Lytechinus pictus: one gene and its partner. The main gene of each other region encodes a partner of the protein of the gene in region 2 in a complex. Links are inferred from orthologs where the notes say so. Each region holds a gene or a part of one and is shown on either strand. Other genes may lie near its edges.

The links. The genes of interacting proteins can lie anywhere in the genome.
Region 1: ATP-dependent RNA helicase SUPV3L1, mitochondrial-like (region 2) and polyribonucleotide nucleotidyltransferase 1, mitochondrial-like share a complex: the UniProt entries of both Homo sapiens proteins name them as parts of the mitochondrial degradosome (mtEXO) complex. The link is inferred for Lytechinus pictus from reciprocal best matches to the Homo sapiens genes SUPV3L1 and PNPT1.

The regions. Positions count from the first base shown.
Region 1 is NC_087251.1:30,702,766-30,708,788, reverse strand, and holds the start of polyribonucleotide nucleotidyltransferase 1, mitochondrial-like, read right to left. Parts: upstream 2,928-6,023; 5' UTR 2,699-2,927; coding exon 2,553-2,698; intron 1,184-2,552; coding exon 1,123-1,183; intron 239-1,122; coding exon 164-238; intron 1-163. UniProt on the Homo sapiens protein: RNA-binding protein implicated in numerous RNA metabolic processes. Catalyzes the phosphorolysis of single-stranded polyribonucleotides processively in the 3'-to-5' direction. Mitochondrial intermembrane factor with RNA-processing exoribonulease activity.
Region 2 is NC_087256.1:1,236,238-1,242,260, forward strand, and holds the start of ATP-dependent RNA helicase SUPV3L1, mitochondrial-like, read right to left. Parts: upstream 3,788-6,023; 5' UTR 3,516-3,787; coding exon 3,137-3,515; intron 2,498-3,136; coding exon 2,420-2,497; intron 1,427-2,419; coding exon 1,204-1,426; intron 1-1,203. UniProt on the Homo sapiens protein: Major helicase player in mitochondrial RNA metabolism. Component of the mitochondrial degradosome (mtEXO) complex, that degrades 3' overhang double-stranded RNA with a 3'-to-5' directionality in an ATP-dependent manner.

The DNA.
Region 1 (6,023 bases), on a different chromosome or scaffold from region 2:
AATGGTAAATTAATGTCGCAATATCATGCAAACTGAATGCATGATATCACTTCAAACTGAATGCCATCATGACCAACAGCAATATCTACTTCCGTGAGTTTTTCATACTCTACCTAATATTCGAAACATTCCTGTATTTATCATTAAATCTTTATTTACTCACTGTCAATGGAAGAAAACCAGGAGACGATGAATTCTTCTTACTGACTGCGGTAACCATGACAGATGTATCCCCAATCTGAAATACAATAAATAAACAGGAATGCATAATTAATGTATGCATTAACTAGCATTGGAATATACAAATATTATAAATAATATAACAATAATAAAAAATCTACTCAGTTATGATTTATAAAAGATATATCAAAGGAGATTTTTCTTCAAATTAAAGTTATGATTTATAAAAGATATGTCAAAGGAGATTTTTCTTCAACAAATTTTACTGTGACTTTTACTTTTAACAAAAATATTTACATAAAGTCAAGATGCAAAATGAATATGGATAACTCTTTCACCGCAGGTACTTGATCCAAACTGAAACAAAAAAAGGTGTTATATAAAATGGTTTAGGCTAGATAGTTAAAATAACATAAAATTGTATATTCTCTCCAGTCTGAGAGAATAGAAAAGAAGAATGGATTATCCAATAACATTGTCAAAATAGATATTCAATCATACATATAGGAGACACCAAAATATTTTTTTTTTAAAGTCTTTTAAGAACCAAAGTGAGACTGAAGTAAATGCTAACCAGTAAATTAAAATAACCATTAAAAGACCAGATCATAAAACATTACACCATTTCAAATATTGGCCTTGATTTTCTGCATTTCAAAAGTACTTCCTATAGATATCTAGAAATATGAGACTCACCCATAAAACAAAAATAACTAGGCCTAAATGTTTATTTAATTTCCATTCAGAAGTATAAAAAAATGAAGAAAGCAAAACCTAAGCATAAAAATTCATTGAAAAAATAAATATCATGCTCAGTAATTGAAAATCAAATAGTAAAGCATGTGTTAAATATGCACTTTGAGCATTTAATAGTCTGGATATGGATTCATATAACTTAATTATATTAATACTTCATCATCTTAATCTATTCAGCTCACTTACCTGAGCAGTTGCACATCCATCAGCTAACTTTGCCAATTCCCCAGTAGACAGGATAAGAGGACTATAAAGTTAAAAAGAAGGGATCATAAATTATGCTATAATTTTGCTACAACACTCTATTTAAATAAAATATTAAAATACAGAAGTGTACTATAATTTGCACAAAATAGTAAGTTTCATATTTCAATTTTGAAAAGTTTAGAAGTTTTGGGCAAAACAACTTAGTTGCAGTCGTGTTCCTAAATGTATGCCATGGAGTACCTCAAGTGATGTTCATGCAGGCTCTACTCCACTTCCGCTACACTATGCTCCACCTACCAGTAGAGGCGCTGGTCCAAAAATTGGGATTGTCACAGAAAACAAGGATATCCTCATAAACCAAGACAAATCATGTCTTGATAAATTGAGACTGTCCTTGTTTATGGGGACTTTTTTTTTCACTTCCCCCTACGGGACAAAGACATCAATTAAGGGAATTGAGAGTGCTAAAAATAGATTCAGTGACCTCAATTCCCCCCAGTTCATCGTCTATTTTTCATGACTTACCGTCTTCCAATAATCTTGTTATGAAACCTGATATGTTTACATTGACTAGCCCACTTGATTGGTGTCGGTACTTGACAGGATTCTTGTGTGAAGAAATCTTTAAAAACTGAGACAGTCCCAGTAAACTGGGACGATCCCAATTTTCTGACCAGCGCCTCTACTGCCTACCCGAACATCGAGCCCCAAAACTCGCTCTGATAGTTACTCCGAGTGGCAAAAAAATGCATATTTAATGTAAAAATCCTACATCGATCGAAACTAGCTTAGCAAGGATATGAAGCTTAGTTTCTCACTTTTCATCCTAATTTCACTCCATATCCATCCTCCGCTTAGCCTCATAATTGGTGATTCAGAGCCAATATCGAGTTCCTCACACATATAAATAATTCGTTACCGATTTCAAAACTTCGCATGCGCACGCACGAGGGTCTGAGCTCGGATCCTCGCACATGCACAATTTTGTTGTTGTTGTAAAGACACTTACATCCGTGAAGATGGTTATAACATATTACTTTATGTTAGGAGGTCCTACTTAGTCTTGAGGACTCCATGATGATGTCTTTTAAAACAAATTGACATGATGGAGAAGTATGTCAAATTTGTTTTAAAAGACATCATCATGGAGTCCTCAAGACTAGGTCCTACTGAAAAAATGCAAATGTGATAAAAATAAAAACTGAAAATGTGAAATGAAAAACAAAAATTGAAACTTATTTTTTTTGGAGTAGGCCTAAACGTAAAACTAAAATGACAGATTAATTGTAGATTCTCCAACCACCATTCATAGAGTAAACATTGAAGTGCAGTAAGGTGTTTAAAGTGTTAAACATGCGTGTAGTCACCACTAAAAATGGTTGGTCATAAGTCAATGTGTGATTTTTTACCTCTGCCCAATTACTGCTTCCACACTGCCAGTTGATGTTGCATAGCCTGTGGCAAAATGCTTCAATCTTCTAGATTTTGTGGACCACTGGCAACGTGGTCGTGGAGTTCCTACAGCATATCGCATGTGTACTAATGCACGCCACATTTTTCCTGTCAATCAAATGATGATAATATAACTTCATATGGATTAAACGCAAAAAGAGCGAGAGCCGAGTGGGTCTCGATCTCTCAGTGAATCTTCGTGTCTATAAATTAATGATACCGGTACGATACACTCTTTCACTCGGGGAGCTGCCGGGGTAGTATTCACGAGATGCCGCTGATCATCCCGCATGCACGTACAGCAGGGCGAACAAATTATGACACGCTGCTCTATCCATTCGAGTATGGGAAGCCAAGTTGAATAAATTTGATAATTTTTTTAAAAATATATTTCCCGGGATATTTTCTTAGAACACTTCCGCCGTAAAATAAATTTGAACCATGTTCAGTAATAATTATGTAAAAATCATTTATTTCAATTTGTATCTCTGTGATGAAAGCAAAATAAACTCCATTTATGTTTCTTACAGGCCCTCTTTAATTTGTTTTCATGGGCGGACCGGCGGCCGCAAAAAAAAAAAGGAAAGGAGAATAAAAAAGAAGAAAGAAAGAAAAGATGATGGAAATTAAAGGGAATCGGGAACTTTGGAAGAATCGAAAAATAGCAAAGCATTCAGGTTATTAAACCCTGGGGACGTTTTCAGTAACCCACAAACTTTTTTGCTTTTTTAGTCCCCCCCCCCCCCCATTTCCTCATCTACTATATACTGTACATGAATTGTAGAATGCATTTGTCATCTATTGTATTTATATATGTATATTTTTAATGAATTGAAATGCATTTACATGTACGTACGTATCATCTTCATGAATTTCACAAGCATTCCCTAAAATTTCTTCGTTTCAATCTTTAAGAATTAAATATATGAAATATATAAAAATATACGCTAGTGCTCGCGCTCGCGTTATTTATCCAGGCCCCGTGAGATACAATATCTTTTTTTTTTAAATAATAAAGCCAATTTCTACTTAACAATTAATTCAATCTTTATTCAGTACCACCCACCCCCAAAACCCAACAACAACAAATCGGTTTAACAGCGGCAGATTGGAGAAACTGTTAATGAAAACAAGTTTGTCGCCCACTCCCTATTTGCCGCAAAAGCTGAATCCACCCCTGTAATAATTCTTAAATTTGAAACAGCAACCTTGATTAAATTAAATCTTAAAATCGTAATAAGCGATTAAGTTTTAAAAGCAATCTCCTGCCTGAATCATTTATAATTGGTTGGCAAAATCTCCCTGCTGTATCCAAAATGCAACTCGTAACAAAGGTCACGAATAACGAAAAAGGGTAGGCCTACTGCATTTATGGACTGCAAATCACGAAAATTCATAATGGTGCTAGACGGAAAGAGAGAGAGAAAAAAATCATCATCGAAAACGATAAGTAGGCTCACATACCGGTGGCGGATCCAGGCCCTGCGGGCCTCTCCCCATAGACCTTTTAATTAAGCCTGCTCTACTCCTTCTATTCTCATTGTCATATATCCATCCTCTCTTCTCCATTTCCTTTTTACTCTCTCCCATTTCCTTCTTTGATCCACCCCCCTCATCACTTCCCTTATTTTGTTTGCCTTTCCTTTTCCCTTTCTTCTTTACGCATTAATTTACTCTATTTTTTCCTCTTTATTTTCTTTCCTGTCTCCCTTTTACTTTTCTTTGATTTTTTTTATTGGTGTGTGCGTGGGGGGGGGGGGGCGGCAAGTTCACCTCGGACCCATGAATCCGCATCTGCCTGCTCCCCTCTTCCAATTCTCATTTTCTTACCCCACTAAATTCACACACCAACACACTCAATCTACACACCCACATACATTGCTCTGCTTCCCGCCTCATCTCTCATTCTTGTATCGTTTTCCCACTGTTCTATCTCTCTCTCCCACTCCCCCTCTCTCCCTCGCATGTGTCTCTTTTAGTATCTTCCTCTTATTTCTCTGTCTCTTTTTAAGTCCCCTCTCCTTTCTTTTATTGAGAGATACTTGGAAGGACCTTTAATGTTTTTAATATTTTTTTATTTAAAAAAATGTTACCATTTATTTATACCATCTAAAAAACTAATATACAAACTACCTGTACTTTATATTTCGTATCAGTTGATGTCAATATTGTGTTCTAAATATTGAAGGGAACTTAATTATTTTACAGGGCCACATGATCTACCCTTTCTTTCTTTTTAGGTTTTTACTTGTATGAATGTGTATTTTATAAAAGCAGGTATTTCATTTATATTGTAGTGACCTTGATACAGAGGAGGGGAAGTTGAAAGGGGGGAGCACAGGGGGAAAAGGGCACCTTTTCTTTCGAAAAGGGCACTATCTTAAAACAAAGAAAAGTGACTTATCTACAGAAGCATAATGGCCAAAATTTTGAGGGGGCTAGATATATCGTGTCACATAAAAAATTATAAGAAGTTGCGAGCGAAGCGAGCGAGCAATTTTTAAAAAACATTTTTATAGCGAAAATCTAATTTTGTGATAGATTTTGACAACAAATATTTATAAAATATCATATTTCACCCTTCTCTCTTTCCTTTTCTATTTTTTTCTTGGTCGTAAAAAATTTGGGGAAGGGGCAAGAGCCCCACATCTGTACGACTCTGCTTATCTACCCCACTGACATGACTCATGAAGCTTAAGGCACGTAGGATTATATTGTTACAAGTTTTGTAGTAACATACAAAAATGAGAATATTGTTTTCTTGTTTCAAAGGGGCACTCATTAAAATGTAAAAATGGGTCCTCATGTAAAAGGGGCACAGAACACATTCGTGTGCGGCATATTTCTTGGGTAAAAATGCGGACTGATACGAGATAGGGCACTTACAAGAAGGCAAAAGGGCACTTGCTCACACATTTTCCATGTTCTCCGTGTTCTCAAGATGAAAAATGTATAGTCCATGTTTTATGCTATTTTACCTATCTGATGTTTCGGCCTAATTATGGAAAGAAATTTGGGACAAAGGTATGTTGTGAATTATTAGAATATTTATAAAGTCACGATTAAAAATAAATCAAGCATCAATGAAATGGAAACTGCATATAGGCCTAATACTGACATACTCATCAGCGTGGTTTCTTAAATTTTAATAAAGTTTGAGTTTATCATATTCTATTTTGATTTGCATATTAATTTCAAATATTTGCATGTGATTTATATACCTTTGTTTTTTTCATGTTTCAATTTCTATCATATCTATCTCCTATTCACCTCCGGTTATCACTGTATAGTACAAGTACGATGATACACCAACCTGGTGGACTGTATACTTTCACGGATGTTGATAAGTCATTCATCTCCGACAACTTATTTACCTGCCTACCACCCCTCCCCTTGTGCTGTTACCCGTTCCTTCTTTCTCCTGATTT
Region 2 (6,023 bases):
ACATCGCTCGAGGTATGGTTGAGCATGCAGTGTCATTCCATTCACAAGAAAAAAACAAGAAAAAATTTACAGGTATTTACATGATATACAAGTAATTGTGACTGAAAAGCTTATATTAATGTTTTATATCAGTTCTGAATCTAGATCTACATGTATGTCAAAATAGTAAAATAATGAATTATTTTCAGAATTTGATTTTTGAACGCGGTCCAAATTTCATAACGCGGGCGGGCGACGGGAAACTGAACATCGAATTTCAGCGGCCATATCGAATGAAATGCAAAAACAGAAGGAAATAATAATAACGAGATATACGAGAAGAAAAAATTGACTGGATCATTATCAAGGTATTTATTTCAATTTTGATTACTTTACAGACGAGGTCCCATAGAATTGAATATTGTAATTATGATTGTTGTGAGTCGCCGTGTCGACTGTCCTGGACTGAAAAACAACATTGCCGATCTTTGCTGGGCAGCCTGGGCGCTAGCTAGCGCGCGCTGAGCTGCGGCTCCGATCCGAGGAGTTAATTGCGCAATGCTTTCAATTTCGAGATCAGAGCGGACCCATTTCGTGGTACAAAGTAACAAAAAAAAACATTTTCTCTCCGGAATAAAAGGCGAATTTGCAAATTGTAAGTAAATTCACTCTAGGCTAGGTTAGTAGTTGGCATATATTTTCCTGATTTGAGCCTGCATAGTGTGGGGATTGCAGAAATAATTTTAATTTTTCCAAGATAAATTGACTTGCGGGTTAAAACCGGACGGGTCAACGGGTCCCGCTTGCAAATTAATGGATTGTACGGGACGGTACGGTTCGGGTTTTCACTTGCGGGTTACAACATTAATATTCTCTATTTTTCTTCAGCTATTCCATACTACATTCTATGTAGGTATAGTTACAAATATATATATATATCTCTCTCTCTCTCTTTTCCATTTCATTCCTGAACTTTTGACTCCTAAACTTTGTAAACATTCAAAATTTCATTGTTTCATGCTAATCTCAAATGATTTACAATCTTAAATGGCAGCTTTTTCATCATTTCTTAAAGATTATTTTAAATACTGGTAGTTGATAAGTTTGGTAAACTCTCCACTCCGACATTACAGATCTTTTGTATATCTTTGATTGTTTTTCTGAATTATTGCCCACAGGATACTATCCTGGTACAAAATGGTGCAAATGCAGATCAACACTTACCATTGGGCTGGGTCTGTGAGGTCACTGATCTTTTTCAGATCGTCCATGCAATCCAGGGCAGGAAAGATCTGGCGGGCATGGCGTATGAAGTATGGAAAGATGTCATCTATATGCCCCGCCCCTACCAGAATGTCACTAAGAATAATATGCAGATCAGGCTCCACAGACTCCACCTCTGTGATGTATTTCCTGAAGCTCATGAAACTTTGATGAAAGAGGTTATCTGAGAAAGGATACCAAGACATGAGATAAGCAGGACATCAAGCTCTTCATTCTTTCTTTTCTCTTTTGTGTACATCTTTATCAAAGCATTTTTCATATTTTCCTAATCATCAGGGGTGTGTCATGAAAGTTTTCAGAACTGACTAAATTATCAGCAGTGACAATTTTAGTGAAATCCAGGTTTCCAGTGACTAAGAAGCATTGATCTGATTGTTACTATAGTAACTATCAGAGATTGACAAGTTGTCAGTGCTGACTAAGCTTAATGAAATGGTGACCAGAATGAAACTTACCCGCAATGAATGCACATATGTAACTCACTTGGGAGTAATTTCAAAGCACCATGGTATCTCAAACACTTAGGCCTGTATTCTGAAGCCACGTTTAACTTCAACCATGGTTTAACTCTGTGCTAAAATTATGGAAAGCCCAAAATTTATTTATCCTTCCAAAACTGTTAAAAATGATTTGAGAGAACAATGAGCTGATACATTGAAATTATACTGTTTGAGATTTATTGCACTCTTGGTCATTCATAGTTTATCCACAACTTTAAACCAGAGTTTACTCTAGATTTAACCCGACTTGAGAATACGGGCCCTAATAAACTATGCTGATTTGTGCTGGGTAAGCACAAGGAGGTAATGTAGATCAACGTCTTCCCAGAGGACTATTGACTCAAAGACTGAAAATAATTTACAATGATCCAGACAGGAGTCAAGTGCCATTTCCAAAGACATTTATCCACTTGGTGAAGGACAGCTCCAGGGTATTTTTTATTTATTTTTTTTTTTTTGGGGGGGGGTTCATGATGAAACAATGATGAAACAAATTCATATCAGTAGCACGTCCAAGCATTCTTGTTACCAATACACTTCTATTTCCTTCATCTTAAGAAATAGTAAGGACAGTTGTGCCTCTGTAAGTGCCACTACAATACATGGTGCTGTCACTGCTGTGCCTACATATGACCATTCGTAAGAGATCATCTTACCATCTAATCCTTCTTCTTCGGCAAGCCTCTGGATAGTTGGCCTTTTTGAAAACTTTGTGAGAATCTTCATCAATTCATCTGTAAAGAAATTGAAAAATAAAAGAACAAATATAAAATTAATATGCATGGATAAAAAATCACTGATTTAGATCATACCTGATCTTCGGATCGGCAGCCAATAACGATCTAATCAAGGCTGATCGGCTGTTTCACGCCGATCATACGTGTATCGGTATGATCGGTGGCAATTTGAAATACCTCTTGGCGCAATATTTAAACAGTCTCAAAGTCAAAGTAACTTTAAAACATTTCCTGATAGATTGTGCAATTAATTTGAGATCGTCGTGACATCTATTAATTTTCATTTTCCTTTCCGACGAGGTTGAGAAAATGCGTCCTTTTATGTTTCTTTTTGGAGAACGGGAGATCATTATGAAATGTATAATAAATCTAAGCCGTTAGTACCAAAAAAAACAATTTCAAAACATTCACAATCGATCGTTCATTAATAATGAATCTGAGATGTTTGTGACTACATTCTATTTCATTTTCCTTACAAGAAATATAGCCTTATAGCCACCACATTGCATTACATCATAATCATGATAATTTAGAAATAAGCCTATAGACCCCTAAAGTAGAAAATATAAATAACAAGCATAGGCGATAGGCAGGCCTGTTAACATACTCAAGTTATTTTCAACATGATTTTCATACCTTTCTTGTTCTTCAAATTTGCACCAAGCTCTTCACCGATGTTTATGTCATCTGGATTATTAGCAGGTTTTACAGGAACAGGAATAAACAATGCTCTAACATTCTTGTCATCCTTGTCTGAAAAACTCCGACAGATCCCAGATGAAGAAGTTGTTAACGCCGGTCGCCCGCTCTCCCGACAAGCTCCTCCCGAATTCGCCGCGAATAAAAATGATCGACGACGGACGGAGTGGATCCCTGACCCCGGAGTTGCGGCATGGTGAGAGTCCAACGTTCTGTTTAAAATCGTTCGTGGTACTGCTGGAAGTGTTCGTTGTGCACAAGAAAAACAACGAAATGTCCTGACAATGGAATATGGCCGACCATATTTACTAGACATTATAAAACAAATATATACTATTTGACATCAAGGAAAAATGAAATACCTGCTCCAATTGCTATTTCAATTGAGTTCCTCCGAACTTATTTCCACTCGGGAATATTTAAGGTTACACATGTTGTTAACAAGTTTGTAACGTAGAGGGCCATCTTAATCACCACAACTTTTTTTGAGAGGGGGTGGGGCGTTTCTGCCCTTCTGGAGCAGTTATTTCATTCATTTCAGAGCAACATTTACATGCACACAAAACATATTTTCATTTTGCCTTGTTTGCACTTTCCTAGCACTTTTAATATATCAAACATAATGTTTTATTTTAGAATGAAATGCATGGTGAATAAATTGAAGGGGAATTCCCACTTCCATTCTGACATCAAGTTGCAGAAAAATAAGAGAAACACACTCAATGAAAGTTTGACAGAAATCTATCAAAAAATAACTTTGGAGACATGAACTTTTGTGATACCATATGCGAATATTTGTATAATCTCCATAAATTTTATATTTTTATATATTGAAATGATTGAAAATATTTTCATTGCAAGGATCTGTGTCTGATAGCATATTAAAAGAACAGGTAAAATAATTTTCAATTTTTTTAGAATTTTGCTTTTTAAGGAATTTATATCTCACAACAATCAGAGAGCTGCCAGCATGTGACATCACAAAATAAAATTAGAATATTTCTCAATTTGTTCTTTAATGCGTTTTCATGAAATCACATGAAATTTTGCTTTTATTAAAGCCAACATTATGCTATGGTGAACCCCCCCCCCCTCCTTTAGAGGCAACACGACTTTCTCTTTGCTTTTATTAACATCTCTCTCTTTCCCTTGTTCGTTCTCATGCTCTCTCTCTCTTCTCTCTTCCTCCCTCCCCCTCATACACTTACGTGAAATGTGAAGTTTGTGTGTAATTCCTTGGTTGTAAGAAGTGGCATGAGTGCATACTACACACAATTGAACTCACTCAGTTATTGTATCGTTTTGTTTTATTTTGTTTATGCAGTGCTTATCATTTAGTTACTAGTATGAATATTTGCACTGTGTCTTTTCCACTGATGGTTTCCTCACCATTTCAACCCCCTTTTCAGGTACTTTCAAGCAATAAAAAAAGAATCATGCTAAACACTTCAAATGTTGTATTCTTGATCATTTTCTTTTCACACTATCATCTAATTCACATCTTCATTAGTTCCCAGAAGAGAACAAATAAATAAATAAATAAGCTACATTACTGCTCACTTAAAACCATACATTATTATCTACAAATATAAGAGGGAAATTTTTTGTAACACAATCATATATGTTTACTGCACCTGAAATCTCAAACTCAATTCCATTCAGCTTGAATTGATTAAAAGGTGAAATAAATGAGAGTTGATGATGTCACACTTTCAATATTTTGTTTTTAAGTTATTAAATGATATACAGACCATTTCAGGTTTTGTAGATTTGATCACAAAAAAAACAACATTTGAATGATTTGTAGAAGTTACATTAAAGGTCATTGAATGGACAGATCCAGAATTTAATAGCAGGGCCCGCTGGGAGAACAGTTTTCGGAACTGAAGCGGCTACCCTGGGTAAATATACCGCTATTATTATTATCATTATTATTACCAGGGGTGGGGCAATTCCCCCCTTCTGTTTTGAGGAAAAAAAACCCAACATGATCATCACTCACAGAGAGCATTTTCCATACAATGAAAAATATGGATTGGGGGAGGCCTGCTTGCCCCCCCCCCTTGATTATTTAAGTCTGGGGCATTTAACATGTTCAAGCCATAGAGTCAAAGTCAAATCATGGTTTACAAATATAAGAAGGAAACACATGAAAAATAATATATTTCATTATAAGAAATAAATGCACTTAATGCGAGACAGCAACTGTTCCTTATTTGTATTCCACCCCTGATATACATATTGTAAAATCAAGCAAAACTTTAACTGATTTTGACGAAATTGCAAGCATTATGCCTGTTTGATTTTTCACTATCTACTTACAATGTAAATCAACTTGATGTTGTTTTCAATGCCCTGTAACTTCCATACATAATGACACTGACAAGTTTAACTTAACAGTATACATTTTTTTAGAATGGAAATCAAGAACCGAAGATGCTTTGAAAAACAAATAAAAAGGATTAGCAAAATAATACTATATTTTAAAATCAATATTGACTGGATATTTCTGAAAATAATGGCAGGCTAACTTAAAGTACTCTACAGAATGAAATTAAAATAAGACCTTCTTCTTATTTTTTGAATTTCTCTCCTTGTTGCACAATTGCAATCCTGAAATTACAGCATGAACATGAGACTAACAAAAAATGAATGTGGTTTACAAATTTAAAGGGGAAAAAATGAAGCAGCTCTACTTCACTTTTTTTCTATGTATTATGGAGTAGTTTCATCGAAGATACCCCAGGTAAAACTACAATTCAAAGCTGAAAATATTTCACTGGCAAATGCATAGGAAAACAAAATAAAATGTCATATTGACATT